Tamandua tetradactyla: one gene and its partners. The protein of the gene in region 3 purifies or fractionates together with the protein of the main gene of each other region. This does not show direct contact. Links are inferred from orthologs where the notes say so. Each region holds a gene or a part of one and is shown on either strand. Other genes may lie near its edges.

Region 1 (7,758 bases), on a different chromosome or scaffold from region 3:
TTTGCTGTACGGCAAGGGCTACATTTCAGTCTTTTTCCATGTCAAAATCCCATTATTACAGCACCATTTGTTGAATTTTTGTTTGTTTGCTTTCTTTTTTCTTTGTTTGTTTGTTTTGGGACGTGCATGGGCCGGGAATTGAACCCGGTCTGCATGGCAGATGAGAATTCTACCACTACCCTTGCACTCTCAGTGAAGCCCTTTGGATGTGGTGATAAAGTGTTGGAGAGGGGAAGCACGCTATAATTTTATGAATAAAGCTCAGTTTCTCACTGCCCCTGAGTCTCTGAGCTGTGACTTTCAGAAATGTTTCTTCTTCTTTTTTTTTTAATCTTTTTCCTTGAGGGCAGACTTCTGTTATAGAGCATTCTCTGGGTATTTCAAAATGCTTACTTTTCTCCTAGACATATTTTTAAAATGGCACTTTTCTCCTCCCCTACTCAAAGCACAAGGGGATCTTTATCAAATCTTCACTGGAAGAACCTGGCAGAATTCCTGGAGGCAAAGCCTGTGAGCGCGTAGTGGCCCCTCCAAGATTGGCTCCCAGGAGCTTTTAATTCTCCAGGTGGTCCACAGTCAGCCTCCAACGATTTATAAAAGTTACCATCTAAATGTGCCAACCAGCTGCTGGTGATGGGTTAGATTATAAAGAGCCTACTGTGTGCTGTCTATAAAACCTATTTTAAATATCAAGATACTTATATGTTAAAAACAAAAGGATTAAAAGTGTTATCTTATACAAACGTTTAACAGGAAACTGGAGGGTACCTATATTAATAGCAGACAACATTGACTCCAGAACAGGGAATATTACCTAGGATAAAAAGGAACATTTTTAATAATAAAGGGGTTAATTCAGCAAAAAGACATGGCAATCCTAAATATATATGCACCTATTATACCTTCAAAGTAGATGAAAGAAGTGATAAAACTAAAAGGAGAAGTAGGTAAATATATAATCACAGTTGGAGAATTCAACATTTCTCTTTCAGCAATTAATAGAACAAGTGGACAGAAAGACAGAAAGGTTTCAGAAGATGTGAACAGTACTACTAACCATCTTGACCTGTCATTCTTTGAACATGCCACCCAATGACAGCAGTTGCTTTCCAAGTGTACAAGGAACATTCAAGTTAGACACATTCTAGGCCATGAAACACATCTCAATAAATCTAAATTTCTATGACTGCAATCACACAAAGTGTGTTATCTGTTGTGCTGGTTTGAAAGGATGTATGTCCCCTAGAAAAGCCATGTTTTAATCAAAATCCCATTTTCGTAAAGGCAAAATAATCCCTATTCAATACTGTATGGTTGAAACTGTGATCAGATCATTTCCCTGGATGATGTGATTTAGTCGAGTGGTTGTTGAACTGGATTAGGTGGAGGCGTGTCTCCACCCATGTGGGTGGGTCTTGATCAGTTTCTGGAGTTCTATAAAAAAGGAAACATTTTGGAGAATGAGAGTGATTCTGAGAGCAGAGCAGAAACACATAGCTATGAAAAGCAGAGTCCATCAGCCAGCAACCTATGGAGATGAAGAAGGAAAATGGCTCCTCAGAGCTTCATGAAACTGGAAGCCAGAAGAAGCTAGCAGATGACGTCATGTTTGCCACGTGCCCTTCCAGATGAGAGAGGAACCCTGACCATGTTCACCATGTGCCTTTCCAGATGAGAGAGAAACGCTGACTGTGTTTGCCATGTGCCTTCTCACTTGAGAGAGAAACCTTGAACTTCATCCGCCTTCTTGAACCAAGGTATCTTTCTCTGGATGCCTTTGATTGGACATTTCTATAGACTTGTCTTAACTGGGACATTTTCTCGGCCTTGGAACTATAAACCAGCATCTGATCAAATTCCCCTTTTTAAAAGCCATTCTGTTTCTGCTATGTTGCATTCCGGCAGCTAGCAAACTAGAACATCTGTCCTCAAGAAAATTAAATCCGAAACCAGTTACTGAAATGTATCTGGAATACCTCAAATATTTGGAAATTAAACAATACAATTTTAAGTAATCTGTGGGTCCCAGAAGAAATCATAATGAAAACTAGAAAATATTTTGACCTGAAAACATAACATATAATTGTGGGATGCAACTGAAGTAGTGGATAGAGGGGAATTTGTGGATATAAATTTAAGGCTTTAAATTCATGTGGTATCACCCTGTCCATTATAAAGTTACCTGTCAACTCTCATCAAATGGTTTCAGAAGTGTTGCAGGATTATTGCTTAGACTCATTATTTCTGAAGGACTGAAAAATGTTGTTTTCCTAATTTTATTGAACTTTCTGCATATAGTAGCTAGAATTCTTTTACAAAAAGAACTTTCTCTCACCAAATATTTGGCTATCTAAGGGTCAAAGAAGAAAAGCAAGATAAATTACTTTTTGCTTGAGTCTTTTATTTGCAGAATAACTGCCCAGCAATATTGAGCTGTGATTAACAAGGTTGTCTTTTTAAAAAATTTTTTATAACAATATGAACGTATAGATTTAAATATGCCATGTACATGAATCAAATGCAGTTTTTATTCTTTTTGAGGCTCAAACTGTCCTAGTGGAGGCCTTTGAAGATGGCCTGAGTCATTCTGCCCCCAAATTTTCAAATATACAGAAAAGTTAAAAGAAATTTTACAGTGAACACTCACAAACTCACCACCTAGATTTTATAACTAACATGTTTCTTGAACTCACATCATCAATCCCTTTCATTCTCATCAACCAGTTCTCAGTTTAGTGTGTACTCTTCCAGATCTTTTTGTACAGATTGTAAATACTGACCAAAATTATTCATAGAATATTTATAACATGATGCGTATTTTTTGTAATTGATATCATACTGTACATATCAATGTGCAATTAATAACCTTAACCCCATATGCATAAGTGCTAACCACGTTATCACATACAGATCTAGTGTGTCACTTACCTATTGTTAAATAACACATTACCCCTCAAATTGGGGGGTTGGGTTTAAAACAATAAACATTTATTATTTTGTGGCTCTTGTGCGTGAGAAATCCCGTAGCAGCTTGGGGGATGGCCCTGGCCCCCCGCTTCTCAGAGTTGCATCAAGATGTTGGCTGCAGGGCAGGTACCCGAAGCTGCTGGAGGCAGGAGGCCCTGCTCCCAAGGCGTTCAGATGTCCGAGACTTCACTTCCTCCACCTCTGCGGCGTCATCACCCTGATGACGAGCTTCTTTCAGAGCCGGAGATCCAAGAGAGGGAGGGCCAGGCGGACTTATCAGACTCTATGACGGAGACCTGGAAGTCACATAACCTCATCTCTGCTGTCTTCTGCTCACCAGGGGCGAGTGACAAGCCCACCCACATCAAGAGCATGATCCGGCGACACCTTCTGCAGGGAGGAGTGCCCCGTGACTGAAGAACCGACCACAGACGCACTGCCACACTCACTTCTGAGCTTCCACTGACGACGGTCGCCCCACGACTCGGCGATCCCTCCAGGGCGAGACCGCCGTAGCCGTCCCCACCGCGCGCGCCCTGCACGCCCGCTGCACACACGCGCTGACCGAGCCTGGGCATCGCGTGCAGTGCCTCTTACACGGCCGAGGGGCTTAGTGCTTTTTCTAGAAGCTAAGAGACAATGTTCCTATTCTCTCTGCAGAAAAGGCCATGCCAAGTCCGTTCAGTGCAAAATCCTAGGGAGCAGCTGCTCCGCGCAGGGCGAGCGACGCTGCAGAAGTCTCCCCCGCGTCCAGCTAAGGTCAGCCGTCTTCAAGCTTTTTGAAAAGCTTGGGTTCATATTTGCTTCTCATTCACTGACCTGTCCCCTTCCAGCACGTTCCATAAGAAGAGGGTTGGCAGAAGCCAACGATTTAAGAAAACGAGGTGAAACTAGAAATGGAGAGGATCCTTTGGTAATGAAGAGAACTAGCTCGCTGCCGGACCCTTCTGGGAGAAGGGCTCCCAAGATAGGTCCCACGTGCCGCGCACGTCAAATGTGCGTCTCACTGCGCAGATGGGGAAACTGAGGCAGCGGGGCTCGGGGACTTGCCCCGGGTTACACAGCTGACAGGATGGGGAGAATTCAAACACAGCAGACGCAGCCACAGAACCCTCGTTCTTCTTAGTATGATCGAAATATCGCACATTCAGCGGTTGCTGTGAAGCTTCGCAAGGAAAACCGAAATACAAACCCGGGCAAACCTCCCCTAAGCCGCCTCAGCTCACCCCTCCGACGCTCCCGTGTGGCTTCCGGCCCCGCCCCCCGAGGCCACGTGATCCGCCCGGTCTCGCGGCCGAGGGCGGAAGTCTCGGGAGTCCGAACCATCGTGAAGTGAGAATAGGGAGACGGCAGGAGTACAGCAAGCACTGTGCGATTGAGCGTACACGGTTAAACCACGTCTCATAAATTTTTGTTTTGGCCCAGGCAGCCATGTTTCCAGTACTGTTAGTGGCCTCTGCCTCTCCACAAATTCCTTTCCTGTTTTGGAATCGTCCGTTCTCTCGCTCTGTCAGTAGACAAGTCTAAGAGCCGAATGTAATGGGGGAATTTCGTAATGTTAGCGAAGTGATTTGTCTAGCTAAAAGCTATGGCATCAACCAAAGTCGCTTTTCGAACTTAGAGTTTTCCTAATATTAATATTTTATTTAAAGTTTAAATTTCATAGAAGTTCGTTTACAAAGATAATTTCTTAAGTCTCCCTTCGGCGTCACAAATAGTACAGTCCGCCGTAGCGCCCCATGGGAAAAGGAAGGGAGTGGTTGCCATGTTGGATTGAACCAACCCGCCGTCTCAAATGGGGTAGTTATGGTGCACGTTGAGTTTGCCGAGCGATGAAAACCTTGATGATTAGAATTGGCAACATAGTGGTCATACTGATATAGTTGTAAGGATTGGTATGCATGTCGTTTACACTCTAGGTTTTGTCAGTCGCTGTGGGAGGGGTGTGGGTGCCCCCCTCGGTCCTGGGCGCTTTGGTGCGGACTTCCCGGGGCGGACGCACATGGCTCGGGAGTAGGAGCCGGCGAGGCGCGCGGTGCGACCTGGGAGAATCGGAAGCGTGGCGGCGGCTGGGTCTGAGGAGAGGGAGGCCGCGCCCGGGCCCATGCAGCACGCGGAGAACGTGGCGGTGCCCGAGGCGGCCGAGGACGGGGCCGAGCCGGGGCAGCCGCAGCCCGCCGCCGAGCAGCCGCTGGAGGAGGAGCCGCCGCGGCCCGCCGGGCCCGCGACTCGGGAGGCGGCGGTGACCGAGGACAAGCCGGAGGCGGCGGCCGAGCCCCGGCCCGAGCTTGCTCTGAAGGCAGAACCGGAGGTCGAGGAGAAGGAGGCGGACGAGGCCGCCGCGGCCCTCGGCGCTTCCCCGGCTTCGTCTCAGCCGCCCTCGCCCGCGTCCGAGGAGGAGCCGCCCAGGTCGCCGCCCGGGTCCCCCGCCCCAGCGCAGGGGCAGGCGCGGGAGGAGGCCGGAGGCGAGGCCCCCGAGAGCCGGCCCCAGGCCCCGTCGCCGGAGGCGGGCGTGGACGCGGAGAAGGCGGAGGAGGCCGAGCCGCAGGCGGTGCAGAACGGCGACGCGGACGAGCCCTCGTTCAGCGACCCCGAGGACTTCGTGGACGACGTGGGCGAGGAAGGTGAGGCGGGCCCGCGGCCCTCTTCTCTGCCCTCTCGGTTTCCGAGATCTTAGTCGGGGTGTGAACGACGGCGTCCCCACGTCCCTCCTCCCGGGACAGCTCGAAGAGAAAGTTTTAGAGCCGTGCGGTGTTTGCGGAGAAGTCCCGGGTTCTGGAAACACGCCCAGGTGTCCTCTGACCGCGTTAGAAGCCGGCAAGGGAGGTGGGAGCGCCCTCCATCCTCCATCCCTCGTGGGGAGCCACTCTCGGCCCGGACAGCCTGCCCGCCTTCAGCTCTGTTCTGCCAGGACAGATTAGAAACGGCGTGGCGGGGGTCCCCTCGTCTGCGTCCCCGCCGCAGATCGGGGCGCGGGCTGGGGTTGGCTGCCTAGGCAGACCTCAGGGACGGACCCCGAGGCGGGGACCCGCAGAGGTGGAGCCACAGGGCCCTCTCTCCCAGGTGTGACAGCTTCCAGGTGTGCAGGCGTGAGTGCTCTCAGAGGTCGCCAGCCAGGCCCCCAAATGAGCTGCAGGAAAAGCGGGCTCTGACTGCTGAGTGTGGGCTGGTTCCTACCCCACAGTGCGGGCTCACCCCTACCCCACAGTGCGGGCTCACCCTACCCCACAGTGCGGGCTCACCCTACCCCACAGTGCGGGCTCACCCTACCCCACAGTGCGGGCTGGTTCCTACCCCACAGTGCGGGCTCGCCCTACCCCACAGTGCGGGCTCACCCCTATCCCACAGTGCGGGCTCACCCTACCCCACAGTGCGGGCTCACCCCTATCCCACAGTGCGGGCTCACCCCTATCCCACAGTGTGGGTTGGTTCCTACCCCACAGTGCGGGCTCGCCCTACCCCACAAGTGCGGGCTCACCCCTATCCCACAGTGCGGGCTCACCCTACCCCACAGTGCGGGCTCACCCTACCCCACAGTGCGGGCTCACCCTACCCCACAGTGCGGGCTCACCCTACCCCACAGTGCGGGCTGGTTCCTACCCCACAGTGCGGGCTGGTTCCTACCCCACAGTGCGGGCTCGCCCTACCCCACAGTGCGGGCTCACCCCTACCCCACAGTGCGGGCTCACCCCTACCCCATAGTGCGGGCTCACCCTACCCCACAGTGCGGGCTCACCCTACCCCACAGTGTGGGTTGGTTCCTACCCCACAGTGCGGGCTCACCCTACCCCACAGTGTGGGTTGGTTCCTACCCCACAGTGCGGGCTCACCCTACCCCACAGTGTGGGTTGGTTCCTACCCCACAGTGCGGGCTCACCCTACCCCACAGTGCGGGCTCACCCCTACCCCACAGTGCGGGCTCGCCCTATCCCACAGTGCGGACTCGCCCTACCCCACAGCGCGGACTCGCCCTACCCCACAGTGCGGGCTCGCCCTACCCCACAGTGCGGGCTCACCCTACCCCACAGTGCGGGCTCACCCTACCCCACAGTGCGGGCTCACCCTACCCCACAGTGGGGGCTCACCCTACCCCACAGTGCGGGCTCACCCTACCCCACAGTGCGGGCTCACCCTACCCCACAGTGTGGGTTGGTTCCTACCCCACAGTGCGGGCTCACCCTACCCCACAGTGCGGGCTCGCCCTACCCCACAGTGCGGGCTCGCCCTACCCCACAGTGCGGGCTCGCCGTACCCCACAGTGCGGGCTCGCCCTACCCCACAGTGCGGGCTCACCTTACCCCACAGTGCGGGCTCACCCTACCCCACAGTGCGGGCTCACCCTACCCCACAGTGCGGGCTCACCCTACCCCACAGGTGTCTGCCTCCAGAGGTGTCTGAGCAGGACGTGCTGGGCCGAGGCCCTGCAGAGTCCTGCTAAGCCTATAAAGCAGGCTGTCATCATTCTCTTGCAAATTATCTTTCCACATTTGCTTCAGTTCTACCTTGAATGACTTTCAGGCATTTCTGCTTCTGTCTGAGGTCCTGTTTCTTAAAGTGAGTTTTGTTGATGGCTGATCTCATTGTTTTTATTTCTTTTGTTTTGTTTTGTTTTTAGCTTTTATTTCAGCAAGCTGGAACCCCATCCATGGATTCATCTACCTATTGACTTTGTACTAAAGAGAAAAATGAAAACACTGTATTGAAGTAGACAGTGATAAACCAAGAAAATAATATCTTAACACGTGGTGGTCAGATGCAAAGTTTTTTGTGAGGTTGTGTCTTTTCATAGAG
Region 2 (6,910 bases), on a different chromosome or scaffold from region 3:
GGACCCTCAGTAAGATTAGCACCTGACTTCTCTGGAGAAATTATTGAGGAGTGTGGGTTGACATATTTCAACTGCTAATAGGAACAGAAACTGTTAACCTAAGTTCTGTGAGGAACGAAATAGAAAATCAGGTTAAAACAAAGGCTAGGTGAGATCACAAGCATGCACTAGGGAGGCCTTCAGACACAAAGGAAAGGACACTAATGTGGGCCATATGTAGAAATAAAGAACAAGGTTAAACATAACTACATAGAAAAATATAAAAGCCAGTATCATTGTGGTGTTCATTTGTAGCACTTCTCTTTAACTATGATCTAAATAGCTAACAAATGAAACAAAAGTTATTGATCTCTGTTAATGTACCCATGGAGTATAAAGATAAAGTCTGTGAGAATAACGATGTAAAAATGGAGGAACCGTGATGTACATAGACACGCAGATGTATGCGATACAAATGAAGTTGGCATTATTCAAACTAGGTCGTATAGTTCTTGCAAGAACTACTTCAAAGGTGTGATTCATGTACAAAGAGTGTTTAAGTCCAGGGTACAGGGGGGAAACTGCTATTGCATGCTATGGGCTATGTTTAAAAGGAAAATATCAGCACTGCCACAGCAACAGCAGAGATAAATAATGGGGAGGAACAAGAGTTAAGAGGAGGTTTAGATTTCCTATTTGGCGAGGGTGTGTTTATTGGTTTTCTTTCTCTTGGAAACAATTAAATTATTTGAAATTGAGAGTATTGATGGACTGTGGATTTTGAGCCCTATACATGATTCCTGATGAATGCAGATGACTGAAGGATGCACTGACTGAGCAGTAGATTGGCAAATGATGGTGTAAACTTATGAAGAAATGTTGTGCTGGTAAAAAAAAGGAATGCAGTTGTGAGGCAAGCAATGATGTGAATGAATGTATGGGACATTTGGTGAGGAAAATAAGCCAGAAACATAAGAACAACAATGGTATGGTCTCCTTTAGAAAATTTTTACAAGAAAACAGGGGCCTAGATTGTAAGATTTAACAGCAGACACATTTAATCCAGTGGCAATTATTATTTCTGGATTTTGAAAGGTTGTTTTATATGTATATAAACCTGATATATATATATATATATATATATATATATATATATTGATTTATATGTATAAATAATATATTTATTCTATATGTTTATATATGTAAATATATATAATATATATTTTATATATATATAACCTGATATTTAGAGATAAGAACGAAGCTAATCAGGTTGGGTTAAATTCAGAACACAGGGGTAATGAAGACATTATCTACATTTTAGAACCACACATACTCTTTAGGACCAAAGGAAGAAAGGTTTATTTGGTCTGGAACCAAAATTTTCTGTAACACATAATCTAACTCAACCTATCAGTATATTGAACAACTAAAATACAGGGAGCCCAGAATAAGAAAGAGGTCCTTTAATCCTGTATAGCCTAATGTAATGCCTGGATACATCCTAGAGTATATTAAGCAGATAATCAAAAAGTATTGGCAAAGTCCCTTGAGGAATGGAAAAAAATATATGAAACTATTAAACTTTACCATCAGGAAATTTCCCGATATTGTGTCAAACTTTAGGAACACCCAAATTAATAGTCCATGTCCTTGATCTTGAGGTTTACTACTGTGAAGCTTATGTAGGTAGCAGAGAAGCATAGTCTACCTATAGGTATGCCTAAGAGTTACTTCTGGAGGACCTCTGTTGTTGCTCAGAGATGACCTCACTCTCTCTAAGCCCAGTACTGCAAGTGAAATCATTGCCTTCTCCCCTATGTGGGACATGACATCCAGGGGTGAAAGTCTCCCTGGTGATGTGGGAGAGGACTCCCAGGGATGAATCCAGACCTGGCACCATGGGATCAACAATTCCATCCAGACCAAAAGGGGGAAAAGAAGTATAACTAATAAAGTATCAGTGGCAGAGAGAGTTCAAATAGAGTCAAGAGGCTACACTCCGGAGGTTGTTTTTCCGCAAGCTTTAGTTTGCTACCTACCACAACCTGCCAAACTCCAACCAGGACCATTCCAGCCAATCCTAACGCACACCTAGGGCAATATATAAGATTCCACAAGGTTTCCATATGCTACTGTAACTTTCCAGAAACCTACAACCTCCAGATGGGTCCCTGGACAAGGTAAGTTCTGAAACCTAGAGGGCCCAGCCTCTCCAAAACATCAGATAGTTCAATCTCCCTACCCCATATTAGTGACAGACTGTTCCAACATGCAAGAGTTAGAATGGCCATAGCCCAAACATCCCTAAAGAGAGGGAGAGAAAGAGCAAAGGGGATAGTAGAGTTATACAGAGAAGATCAGATTTAACAAATGAATATGAATGCTGAATCATTAAATTGATATTTCTTTTAGTCTCCAGTATCTTAGAACAGCTAGAAGTGAAAACCTAAAATTGTGGAATTGTAGCCCATGTCAAACTCTGAAATATGTTCTACAATTAATTGTGGTGCTGCGCTTTGAAATTTATTACTCTTTTGTATATATGTTATTTTTCACACACAAAGAAAGAAAAACTGTCAATTGTGGTGATAAAAATTAGTCAAGCCTTCTAGCCTCCTATATTCTGGCAAAGCTAGAAGGAAAAATCTGAGAGGATCGTATGGTAGCCCATGACAAACTCTGGGATCTGTCCTGTAACTACTTGTTGAAGAGTGCTTTGAAAACTACTGCTTTTTATTTCTTTGCTTTGTATATATGTTATACAGGTAAATTAATGAACCAGGTAAATTAATGAAATACAAAGGAAGGGAGAAAAGGGAGGAACTGAGGGTCAAAAATCATATACAACATAGAGAAAAACAGATTGTCCTTCCACATCAATACTGCTTTAAATGTAATTGGTCTGTATTTTTCTTTTCTCTACTGTCTTTGCCTGGTGTCAGTGCTAGGTGATGCTGGTCCCGCAGGGTTAGTTAGGAAGTGTGCTCCCCTATTCAATTTCTCTAAAAGATACGTAACAATTGCTGTTAATTGTTTTTAAATTTTTGGTAGAATTGACCAGGTAAGTCATCAAATCTTGAGCTTCTCTTTGATGGTAGGGTTTGTTTACTGATTCAATGTCTTCATTTGATTTAAGTCTGTGGTAGGATGAATTATGTATCCCAACAAACACATGTCCTTAATCTCAATCTGGATGTGAACCCCGTGTATAAAGGGCCTTCGGAGATGTTACTTTTAGTTGTGGTGTGGCCCAGCTGAATTAGGGAGGGTATTAATCAGTTTCCTAGAGGCTTAATAGTATGAACCAGGAAGTGACAGAAGCTGGAAATGATTGCACAGTGTTTTGGGAGAAAGAATACAAGCCAAAGGAACTCCAGGATTGTCAGAAGCCAGCAGCAGAGTGCTACCATCTTTACAGGAAAAAGCAAATTCTACTAAAACCTTGATTGTGGAATTCTTCTTTCAGCCTCTAAACTGTGGTTCAGTAATTTCCCATTGTTTGAGACAAAACCAGTTTGTGGTATTTGTGACTGCAGTGCAGGCAAAATGAGACTGTTCTATTCAATCTTTCTATTTCTTTCTGTGTCAGTTTGGTGGTTTGGGTGTTTCTGGAAATTTGTCCAAGTCACTTAGGTCATATGATGTGTAGCAATACGGTTGTTTGTGTCATCCTCTTATAATTGTTTTAGTTTGCACACAGTTGGTAGTAATGTCTCCTTTTTCATTTTTGATATCTGAAGAAATTCTTCTTTCCCATTTGAAATGATCTCAGCACCCTTGCCAAAAATCAATTGACCCTAGATGGGAGGGCTTATTTCTAGGCCTTCAATTCTATTACGATGGTCTCTATGACTACCCTTATGTCAGAACAAAGGCAACTAAGAAACTCATCCCACAAGAATGATCAGAAAGAATAAAGTGCCAAGGAATAAATTTAACCAAGGGGGAGAAGACATGTCCACTGACAACTACAAAACGTTGCCAAAAGAGATCAAGAGATGTCAATAAATATAAAGATATGCAGTGTGCATGGATTAGAAGTCTTAAGGTTGGTAAGTTGTCCTGATTACACCAAAAGGTCTAAAGCTTCAATGCATTCCATATCAGTGTCCTTAGATTATGTTTTATGGAAATAGAAATTCCCATTCTAAAATTCTAATGAACTTCAAGGAATCCAGAACAGCCAAGACAGTTTTGAAAAGGAACAAAAAAGTTAGAGAAGTCACACTTCCATTGACAAAATCTACTACAAAGCTACAGAAATGAGAACACGTGGGGTCAGAAAACTGGATACCCACATGGCTGTTATAACAGAATCAAGGAAATAAGAAGTGCTGATGAGGATGCAGAAAAGTAGGCACCCATGCACACTTTTAGTGGGATTCTAAGTTTACCTCTCTTGCAAAGAGTTGGGTGGAGCCTCAGAAAGTTGAACTCAGAATGACTGTATGAATTTCCAATTCTACACCTACATTTCTATGTGGCAAAGCATTGAAAGCAAGGACTCGACTAGATACTTGGACACCAAAATTCATGGCACCATTATTCATAAACTCAAAAACATGGAAACAATTAGCGTCTATCATCAGAAGAATGGATTAACAAAACAGGCTTCAAAAATATAATGGACTATTATGCGCTCACAAGAAGGAATTTAGTACTGATACTCTCTAGAATATAGATGAACTGTGAAGACATGATGTTGAATGAAATACATCAGACAAAAAAAGACAAATATTCTATGATTTCCCTTATATGAAATACTTAGAATCACCATGTCCACAGATCAAAATTAAATGACAGATTACTGAGGGTGAGAAGCAGGGATGGGAAAATAGTTTTGTGCAGAGTTTCTATTTGGGGTGATCAAATAATTTTGGTAATGGATGCTGTCGAGGGCAACACAACAGTGTGAATATAATAAATACCAGTGACGGGAAATTTTTAATTGTATTAAGGGCGTCAGAACTAAAGTTGAAAAAGAAAAAAGGATCCCCTTGTTCAAATCCAGAGTCCTCTCTTTTTACTCATGCTATGTTGCTTCAATGTTGCTTCCCAGGACTACTATTTCAGGATCTGTGTCAAGTATTGGAAAGTTCATTGACTCCTCCATTCACCATCATCATGACTTAAATGTGGAGAGTGCATGTGTCTCAAAAGTGGTTGAGCAGCATTTCTTCATATTACCATTTGGTCATTTATAACATGAGGAAAACAGGCAAGTAAATCCTAAAGTTCCTTCCAGTTATAAGTATCAATGCTTCTCCTGTTTCTGTCACCTCTGACTGATGGCAAGCAGAGATGCAGAAATGAGAGCAGGCAGTAGGGTTGGGGAGCCTCTGGGAGTGAGTTCATATAAGAGTAGGTTGCCGGTCATACCTGCTTTGTAGAGATGATAAATTTACAGTGTGCTGAAGGAGTCATGGGTAAGAGTTTATATAAAATTGCAAAGGTGCTTACAAAGCCAGTTGCTATGAGCAAGGGGGTATAGCTCAGGGGTAGAGCATTTGACTGCAGATCAAGAGGTCCCTGGTTCAAATCCAGGTGCCCCCTACCATTGGTTTTTCTAGCCACAAAACCTATCGCTTGCATGCTCAGACTTCTACTGGCTGTCTCTCCCAGGGCAAACCACGGATAAACAGTAACTTATAACCCCAAATCATCACCCTCAGCTCCCCTCTTCCTATCAAGACAGCATGGCTCACTGCACTGGCAGTCAGACATAAGAGGGCACATTATAGCATTCAAGATCTCATGTAGGGCAGATTTTTCACTCTGGGAATCTCGTTTCTAACACACCATGGCTCTCTCCTATACTTGTCCCAAACCCATAAGACTGAGCCCTGGCTTAGGTTCTGTACCAATGAAACAAGGGGTCTACACTTGTAACTTTGTGAAACCATTTGAACTATAGCCCATTTCTATCTTTACTGGGGGCCCAGAGGAGGATTATCTGTGTATTTTGGCAAAATCCAATGACCAGCCCTCAGACTAAACAGAAAAAGTGATAGGTAATGGGCTGAGGGTCCTACAGGCATATCTTTTCTTGCCCCACTGCGATCTCAACCCAAGAACTGAGGTTGGGAAAACTCCCGATCTGTTGCTATGACTCATGCCTAGCAACTTCCAAGACACCAGTTCAGAGAAGAAGTGAAAACTGTTTTATAGAACTGAGTGTTACCAGACAGGTGAAAGGTAACAACTAATTTGCACTAGCATGCCAGGGGGTGTAGCTCAGAGGTAGAGCATTTGACTGCAGATCAAGAGGTCCCTGGTTCAAATCCAGGCACCCCCTTTCTTGTCTATATTTTTGGTAGCTGAGGCTACCCACATACTCTTTTGTGGGCCCAACACAAGTCTGAAGAGATCTCCACTGGTTGGAGTGAGTAGGAAACCCCAGTTTGGTAGCCAATGACACCCACATATCGCTTACATAAGTCCCACCCAAAGGCCTAAGTGTCCTCCACCAATTGTGGTTTCTTGGAGCAACCCACAGAACCTCTCTCTCTCTGGACTGCAAAACCTGAGGTCACAGTGATGTGACATTGATGTCTATGGGGATCATATCCTCAACCACACTGTGTTCCCTGAAGGCACATGCTGACGGGAAAGCCTCCCACCTCCTAATGTCCAGTACAGAGCACACATAGCAGCTCTCAAAAACTTTCTCTGAAACCAGGGCTACAGTCCAGGCAAATGTCAAAGGGGTGCACCAGCACAGAGACAATCTGGAAAGACTGGGAAAGATGCTTTAACTTATACTCCTAGCATTCAATGACTGAATACAGGCTAAATTTGTGAGAATCAAGAACAAACAGGAACAAGAATGAAGTTCTGATCCATGCGACAACATGGATGAAATTTTAAGACTTCATATTGACTGAAATAAGCCAGACACAAATGGGAAAATATGGTATGGCCTCAGCAG
Region 3 (6,998 bases):
TGCCTTCAGCTACCAGCTATATCCCTCTGTGCTATCCATTACAGTAGGTACCAACCACATGTGGCTGGCACGACTGAGGAAGCGAATAACTTGGGTATGTGAGTCTACCTTTAGAACTGTAAATTTTAAGAAATACCTACAGATCAAGTATTTACAATGAAAATGTAGTATGTGAACTGAGATATTCGATAAATGTAAAACACACATTAAACTTAGAAGACTTAGTATGAAGACATAAAAGATCTCATTAACAGTCTTTGTTGTTATTGAACAGATTTTAAAGTTGGTATGGGTTACAATTCCACAATTTTAGGTTTTTACTTCTAGCCGCTCTAAGGTACTGGAGTCTAAAAGAAATGTCAATATGATTCAGCACTCATAATCACTTGCTATACCCTACCTTTTCTGTACAATTCCTCAATTACCTTTGATCTTTCTCCCACTCTTTAGGAGTATCTGGGCTATGGCCATTCTAGCTTTTTCATGTTGGAAGGGGCTGTCAATAATATGAGATAGGGGGATGGAACTAGCTGATGTTCTGGAGAGGCTGGCCCCTCTGCATTTCAGGACTTATCTGGTCCAGGGACCCATCTGGAGGTTGTAGGTTTCTGGAAAGTTAATCTAGCAGATGGAATCTTTGTAGAATCTTATATAATGCCCTAAGTAGTCTTTAGTTTTGACAGGAATGGTTTTGGTTGAGGTTTGGCAAGTTATGATAAGAAGCAACGTCTAACTGAAGCTTGCAATGGTTTTTTTTTTATACTGATTATTTGCAAAATTATATTTTGGGTACATGGGATTAAATAACATTAAAATGAATTTTAACTGTTTCTTTTAATATTTTTAATGTAGCTGCTGAACATTTTTAAATTACACTAGTGGCTAGTATCATGTTTCTATTAAATAGCAGCGGCCTATATATTTCTCATCAGAAAGGCCTGAGGAATGAAGGAAACAGATCAGGGATTAAGGTGCTCCTAGTCATTGACTCAGTAGGCCTCGAACCATATTGCTTTCACCATTCACCCTTCCAAGACTGGCTTAAATTCTATTACCTTGGCGAAGACTTTCTTTACTATCCCACCCTGGACTGATCCACCTCAGCTCTAATGCCCAGTACACGAAGGCAATCCTCAAAACACCAGAAGCAACCACTCTGGAGCCTGGCACACCACAGCACACACCGAGAGGTTGTAAAGCACAGAAGTTCAGAATTAGGCTCTGGTGTCAGACTGTATAATTTCAAAATCTAGCTCATCCACTTAGCTTCTACATACTTATACTCATGCACTTATCCCCTGTGTATTGTTTCTTCACCTATAAAAACAGGAAAACAACAGGACCTACTTCATAGGGTTACTGAGGAGGGTAACAAATAAGTCCAAAAGTACTCTGGGTACTGCCTGATCCATACTGATAATACATATTAACTGCCATTATAATTATTAACATAGCTACAGTTATTTAAGGCTTTATACAAATTCCTGGAGCTATAGTCCAACAAAATAACTTTCCCCTTTCCTACTGAGACTCCTGGGCAGTTTCTTCACAGAAAATGATTAAACAGCACCCCTTCTGTAGGGCCTGAATAGCTAGGCTAGTACCACACAGTGAGGTTATTTTGGCCAGCAGCACATACCTGTTCTCGTAGATGTCCTGGATCTCATACACCTTCTGGTCAATGACATCACTGGAGACTCGACTGGCCTGTAGCTCATAAACTTTCTGATCAATCAAATCTGAGACGGTTTTGTGGAAATACTGGATAAAATTTTTTATCACTTCAGGAATCACCTGATATGTCTGCTGTTCATACTGACGTTCATAAGCCAGGTCCTGCTTTGGATCTCCTACAGGTTGGATATAATAAATAAATAAATACTTTACAAAGTGCTCTCAGACCCATATTATGTGATGTAATGAAAAAGGCAGGACCATCCCCAAGTAACCATGAGCTAAATTCAAGTCTATGAAATTCAGTGTAACTCCCCTTTAAACAACTCAAAGAGATATAACCTTCCCTAAGTTGTTCTCCATCCCATCACCCTATTTCTTCAGGACATTTATCACTACTAAAACGATTTACTCAATTATTTGTTTTCTCTACTAGAAAGTAAAGTTCTAAGTACTAAATCAAGCCCAGTCTTTGTAAATTGTACAAAACCTCAAAGCTCCTCTACCCCACAAATACTTCATTTGAGTATGGTTTGAATCATTTCAACTTTTCACGTCAAAATTCTCTTTTTCGGCTAAAAGTTAAAACAAAGAGACCACAGTCTGGCCAGTCAAAAATCCTTCTCTTCTGAGACTGTTTAGACTGACCACAAAAAAGGGGGGGGGGGGGGAGAGTAGGAGGTTAGTTTATTAGATTCTACCCAACCCTCCCACTGAGAGTTAATAACTGACTCCAAGCCTGGACCATCAAGTAGCAGTTTTTAAGAGATACCCATCAGAGCTGTTCTGAGCCATTCAAAAAGGTGCCAATCCCTAAGATAGTCAAACAAACTCTTACCTGTATGTATATACAGGTCTTACCTGTATGCATATCATAGTCACCCGGGTAAGCATATGGATCATAAGCAGCCTAGAACGACAGACACACATAGTCAACAATTTGTGAATCCACAACCTTCGTCCCACGGGCATCCTGCGTCAAGTAGGAAGCTAGGGATACAGGCATGGGCAGGGTACAGCCTCTGTAGTCGGTCCCGAAAAAGGGAAGGACGAAGATGACCAGGCAAGAGAAGCGGGCGGGGAGACGGTGGCAAAGGAAGCCGGAGCTGTGGCTACTGCATAAGGGCCACGCGGGAAGGCAAGGCGAAAGCGAGACACCATCTCTCCCCGAGGCCCAGCACCCAGAGAGCCCCTGCCCAGGTCGTGGACCCGACCACGCGCTTACAAGCATCCTACCTCCGACTCGTAATCATCCGCGGGGTAGGACATAGCAGCAAAACTCGCGAAACCGCCGCCGAAAGAGAAAAAGAAATGCCACCGCCTGCCCTGTGAGACCGGAACTTCCGACACTTCTCGGTCCTGCTGGGAAACCGGAAGCCTTGCTATAGCCGGCGGCCACCTCAGATAGCCATGTTCGGAAGGGCTAAAAAAAAAAATAATAATAATAATAATAAAATAACTACAAGGCCTAAGTTCTTTCTATTTTCTTCAAAGAGAGGCTTTGAAAGAAAGTCACGTTATATGACTTTCATAAATTCAGAACTAAGGGCATGAAATAGTTCGGCATAAAGGGCGGGCAAATTAAGTCTCCTATGAAATGCCACACAAAAGATGTCTGACAGCTTCCTGGGTCCGCCTTCTTGCGTGAAAGGATATCCGGACGTAGGGGGCCTGACTACGGATTTAGGTGTGGGAGGCTTGCCTGAGGCAAATAACGTCTTCAAACTTTCCGGCCTCAAGACCCTAAATTTGCTGTGTTACAGTTGAGTCTTGGTTTCATTCAGTGAGGTGGTATTGAGAAAAGGCGCTCCCAACTTTGCACATTATGATTGGAGCAGGCAAGAACGAAGCCAGCTGTTTCTGTAGCAGAGAAGCTAAACTATCTATAGTTGGCCTAAGAGTTTATAGCAGAGGACCTCTTTTGTTGCTCAGGTGTGGCCTTTCTCTGAGCTCAGCTCTGCAGGGAAGATAGTTGCCCTCTCCCTACAGACATGACATCCAGGGGTGAAAGTCTCCCTGGCAATGTGGGACATGACTCCAGGGGATGAGCCTGGCCCTGGCGCTGTGGGATCACCTGCACTTTCCTCACCAAAAAGGGAAAGAGAAACCTAACAGAGTGAGATATCAGTGACTGAGAGTTAAAGTGAAGTCAAAGGGCTATTCTAGAGACTACTCTTACACAAGCTTTAGCTAGGTATTGCTAATTTCCACAGTTTGCCAGACCCCAAACAAAACCATTCCTGTTAACCCTGAGGAATACCTAGGGCTCTGTCTGAGATTGTATATAAGTTTCATGTACTAAGTTTATTTTCTGGAAATCTACAACCTCCAGATGGTTTCCTAAGCCAGGTAAGTCCTGAAATCCAGAGGAGCCAGCCTCTTCAAGAACATCAACTAGTTCCATCCCCCCGTCCCATATTATCGACACCCATTTCCAACATGAAAAAGTTAGAATGGGCAAATAACTCTAAAGATTGGGAGGGGGGTGGGGGGAGAGGGAGAATTAGAGAAGATAGGGTTTGGTGAATGACCAACCTAACTCGTTATATTGATATTTCTTTTAGTCTCCTGTGTCTTGGAGTAGCTAGAAAGAAAAACCTGAAATTGTGGAACTGTAACCCATGTCAAACACTGAAGTTTGTCCTATCACTACTTGTTACAATGTAGGTTGAAATTTATTGCTTTTTTTTTGTATATATATTTTGCAAGAAAAATGTTAAAAAAAAAAAAAAAAAAAAAACAGAAATGCCAGAGCCAGCTGTGGTGTTGTGGTGTGAAGCCCTAGGGCGAAGCCTGAGATCGAGTCAGCGCTTGAGCACCCAGGCTGTGCATTGTGATCGGAGTAGTAAGAGGTGCTCTTAGCTCTGCGGGAGCCCTGGAATTAGGGATGGAAGCTATAAGACAAGCCAACAGAAACCGGGAGGGGGCCTTGGTTTAGCCATCTGCCCGTTTACAATACCAAGACAGGAAATCTGGGTTCCAGTCCCTGCTATGCCTCTGATTTGCTGTGTGGCCAGAAGCAAGTTTCACCCTCTCTGGGCCCTAGCCTCCATATTTTCTAGTTATACTACCCTCTTTGCTTTTCCCATCTGCTTCAGGGCTTTTCTGCTTAGAATTACCTGTATCTAAATTCTAGAATGCAGTCCTTACAGACATCCACAAGGCATGCTGCATCACTCCTTCAGGTGTGTTTACTGTCATCAACTTAGAGCATCCTATTTTAGAATTACAACTCCCAGCTCCAGTGCCCTTTGCCCTGTTCTTGCTTTGTGTACCTTAGTTGCAGTGTCATCAAAGGTGTGATTAATTTACCATGGAACTAATGGAGCTTAAGTTTCATGTCTCTTTGATTCACCAGGTCTCTTCCATGACTCAGGAAGAGTAGCTAGCAATGTACTCACATGGTCAAAATTTGCCAATATAATATTGTTACTGCAATTGGTTCCAACCACTCTCTCCACTCTAATTCCCTTCTTTGCAATTCACACTATGTCTGTTGGCATTTGGATCTGGCAGAGGAAATCTAGTTGGGAACATTTGGGTTTAATAAGATGTATGTAAGTGACACTGCTCCTTCTGTGCATAATTAACTTATTGCAGGTCTCCCTAGGTAGGACACTTACCATCCCCTGTTGTCAGTGAGTGTCATCAATCAATTATGGAAAATGATAATATGAAATTGTCATATAAAGAGGCAACCAAAGGGCGGGCCACGGTGGCTCAGCAGGCAAGAACGCTTGCCTACCACGCCAGAGGACCTGGGTTCAATTCCCAGTGCCTGCCCATGTTAAAAAAAAAAAAAGAGGCAACTAAAGAGTAATTTGTCAGCCAAAAAAAAAGAGAAAACATTATGGAAGTGTTTCAGAACATTAACAAATATGTTACTTCTCTGGATTTGTGATGTTTGTGGTAGTTGTCACCTTTAAAAAATTATAATTGTTTGAGTTCTCAAGTTGTGCTGTGATTTCTCCTTCTAAATTGATACTCTCTTTCACACCTGGCTTTGTGTAATTTTCTAGTCGTCATTCTTCATATAAGATTCAGGCCCCACTGAACTTGGATCTCTTGTTTATAATACTATAGCATATATTTTATTTGTTAGTTTTTTTCTTTAAGACTTTCTACCCTCCTGTACACTCTAGTTTAGAGAATCACGATGCAAGTTAGAATGGTAAAGGCTCTGAGTGGAGCCTCTGCACTGGCTTCTTTTTCCCATTTTTATTAGTTCCTCATCATCTCTCCAATCACTAAATAGTGAACTGCTCTATCCTTCCTCGGTTGGTCCTTGGGTCTCTTCATTATCTACCTCACTCCCTGTCTCAGCCAATCCAGTATACTTAGATATCATCCGTATGCCACTAACTCCACAGATTTCTCTCTCTTCTCCAGACCCCACCCCTGACGTGGGCCCCTGGCCCATTGCCTGTTCCCATCACAACCTGAATATTTAATAAGCACCTCAAAGTTAATATCCAAACTGAACTCCTGACCTTCTGCTTCAACCCTGCTCCTCTCACAGTTTCCCCCATCTCAGTGAAGGGCAACACATTTCTTTCAGTTGCTCGGGCCTAAACCTCCAGAGCCATCCTTTACTCCTCTATCTTTTTACACCCCACATCAAATCCATCTGCAACTCTTGTTGGCTCTACCTTCAAAAATATTCTCAGATTCTCAGTTCTTACCACCTTGGTCTCTATTATCTTGGTTCAAACCACCATCATCTCACCTATATTATTGTAACAGCCTCCTCACTCTTCCTGCTTCCACTCTCAATCCATATCTGTCGAACTGCATTTAGAATGAAACTTACTCCACAAGCTGTAAAGAATAAAGTAAAACTGTCTTTATTCACAGATGGCATGATACTCTATATAGAAAATCCTAAGGACTCTACAAAGAAGTTACTGTAATAAATTTATCAACGTTATGTGAAATATGGTCAGTATGCACAAAAAATCTATTATATATTTTTTAAATAAAAAATATATTATTATATACTGGTTGTGATGATTAAGTTTATGTGTCAGCTTGGCCGGGTTATGGTGTCCAGTTGTTTGCTCAAACAAGCACTGGCCTGATTGTTACTTTGAGGATATTTCATGGATTTAAATAATCGTTAAGTTGATTACATCTTCTACAATCAACTGAGAAGATTGCCTTCAACAATGAGATAAGACTCATCTAAAAATAATGTATTAGATTAAATGTCCTTATAGTTAAGTCATTGTTACTTGCAGCCTAAAGCCGTCTTAATATGCCTTATCCCTTCATTTTATATTTTACACATAGAATCTTCTGTGTATTTGATTCAGGATTTGTAAATT

The links.
Region 1: the proteins of EIF3L (region 3) and EIF3B purify together in Homo sapiens (affinity purification with mass spectrometry; 8 studies listed by BioGRID and IntAct, counting the BioPlex papers as one, with this or other methods). This does not show direct contact. The link is inferred for Tamandua tetradactyla from reciprocal best matches to the Homo sapiens genes EIF3L and EIF3B.
Region 2: the proteins of EIF3L (region 3) and ZNF746 purify together in Homo sapiens (affinity purification with mass spectrometry; 3 studies listed by BioGRID and IntAct, counting the BioPlex papers as one, with this or other methods). This does not show direct contact. The link is inferred for Tamandua tetradactyla from reciprocal best matches to the Homo sapiens genes EIF3L and ZNF746.

Annotation. Positions count from the first base shown.
Region 1 is NC_135349.1:1,763,042-1,770,799, forward strand, and holds the start of EIF3B (eukaryotic translation initiation factor 3 subunit B), read left to right. Parts: upstream 1-4,708; 5' UTR 4,709-5,071; coding exon 5,072-5,591; intron 5,592-7,758.
Region 2 is NC_135327.1:194,005,720-194,012,629, reverse strand, and holds the start of ZNF746 (zinc finger protein 746), read left to right. Parts: upstream 1-3,897; 5' UTR 3,898-4,000; coding exon 4,001-4,030; intron 4,031-5,463; exon of another isoform or gene 5,464-5,535; intron 5,536-6,205; exon of another isoform or gene 6,206-6,277; intron 6,278-6,910.
Region 3 is NC_135333.1:30,217,365-30,224,362, reverse strand, and holds the start of EIF3L (eukaryotic translation initiation factor 3 subunit L), read right to left. Parts: upstream 3,044-6,998; 5' UTR 2,944-3,043; coding exon 2,911-2,943; intron 2,585-2,910; coding exon 2,536-2,584; intron 1,851-2,535; coding exon 1,640-1,850; intron 1-1,639. UniProt on the Homo sapiens protein: Component of the eukaryotic translation initiation factor 3 (eIF-3) complex, which is required for several steps in the initiation of protein synthesis.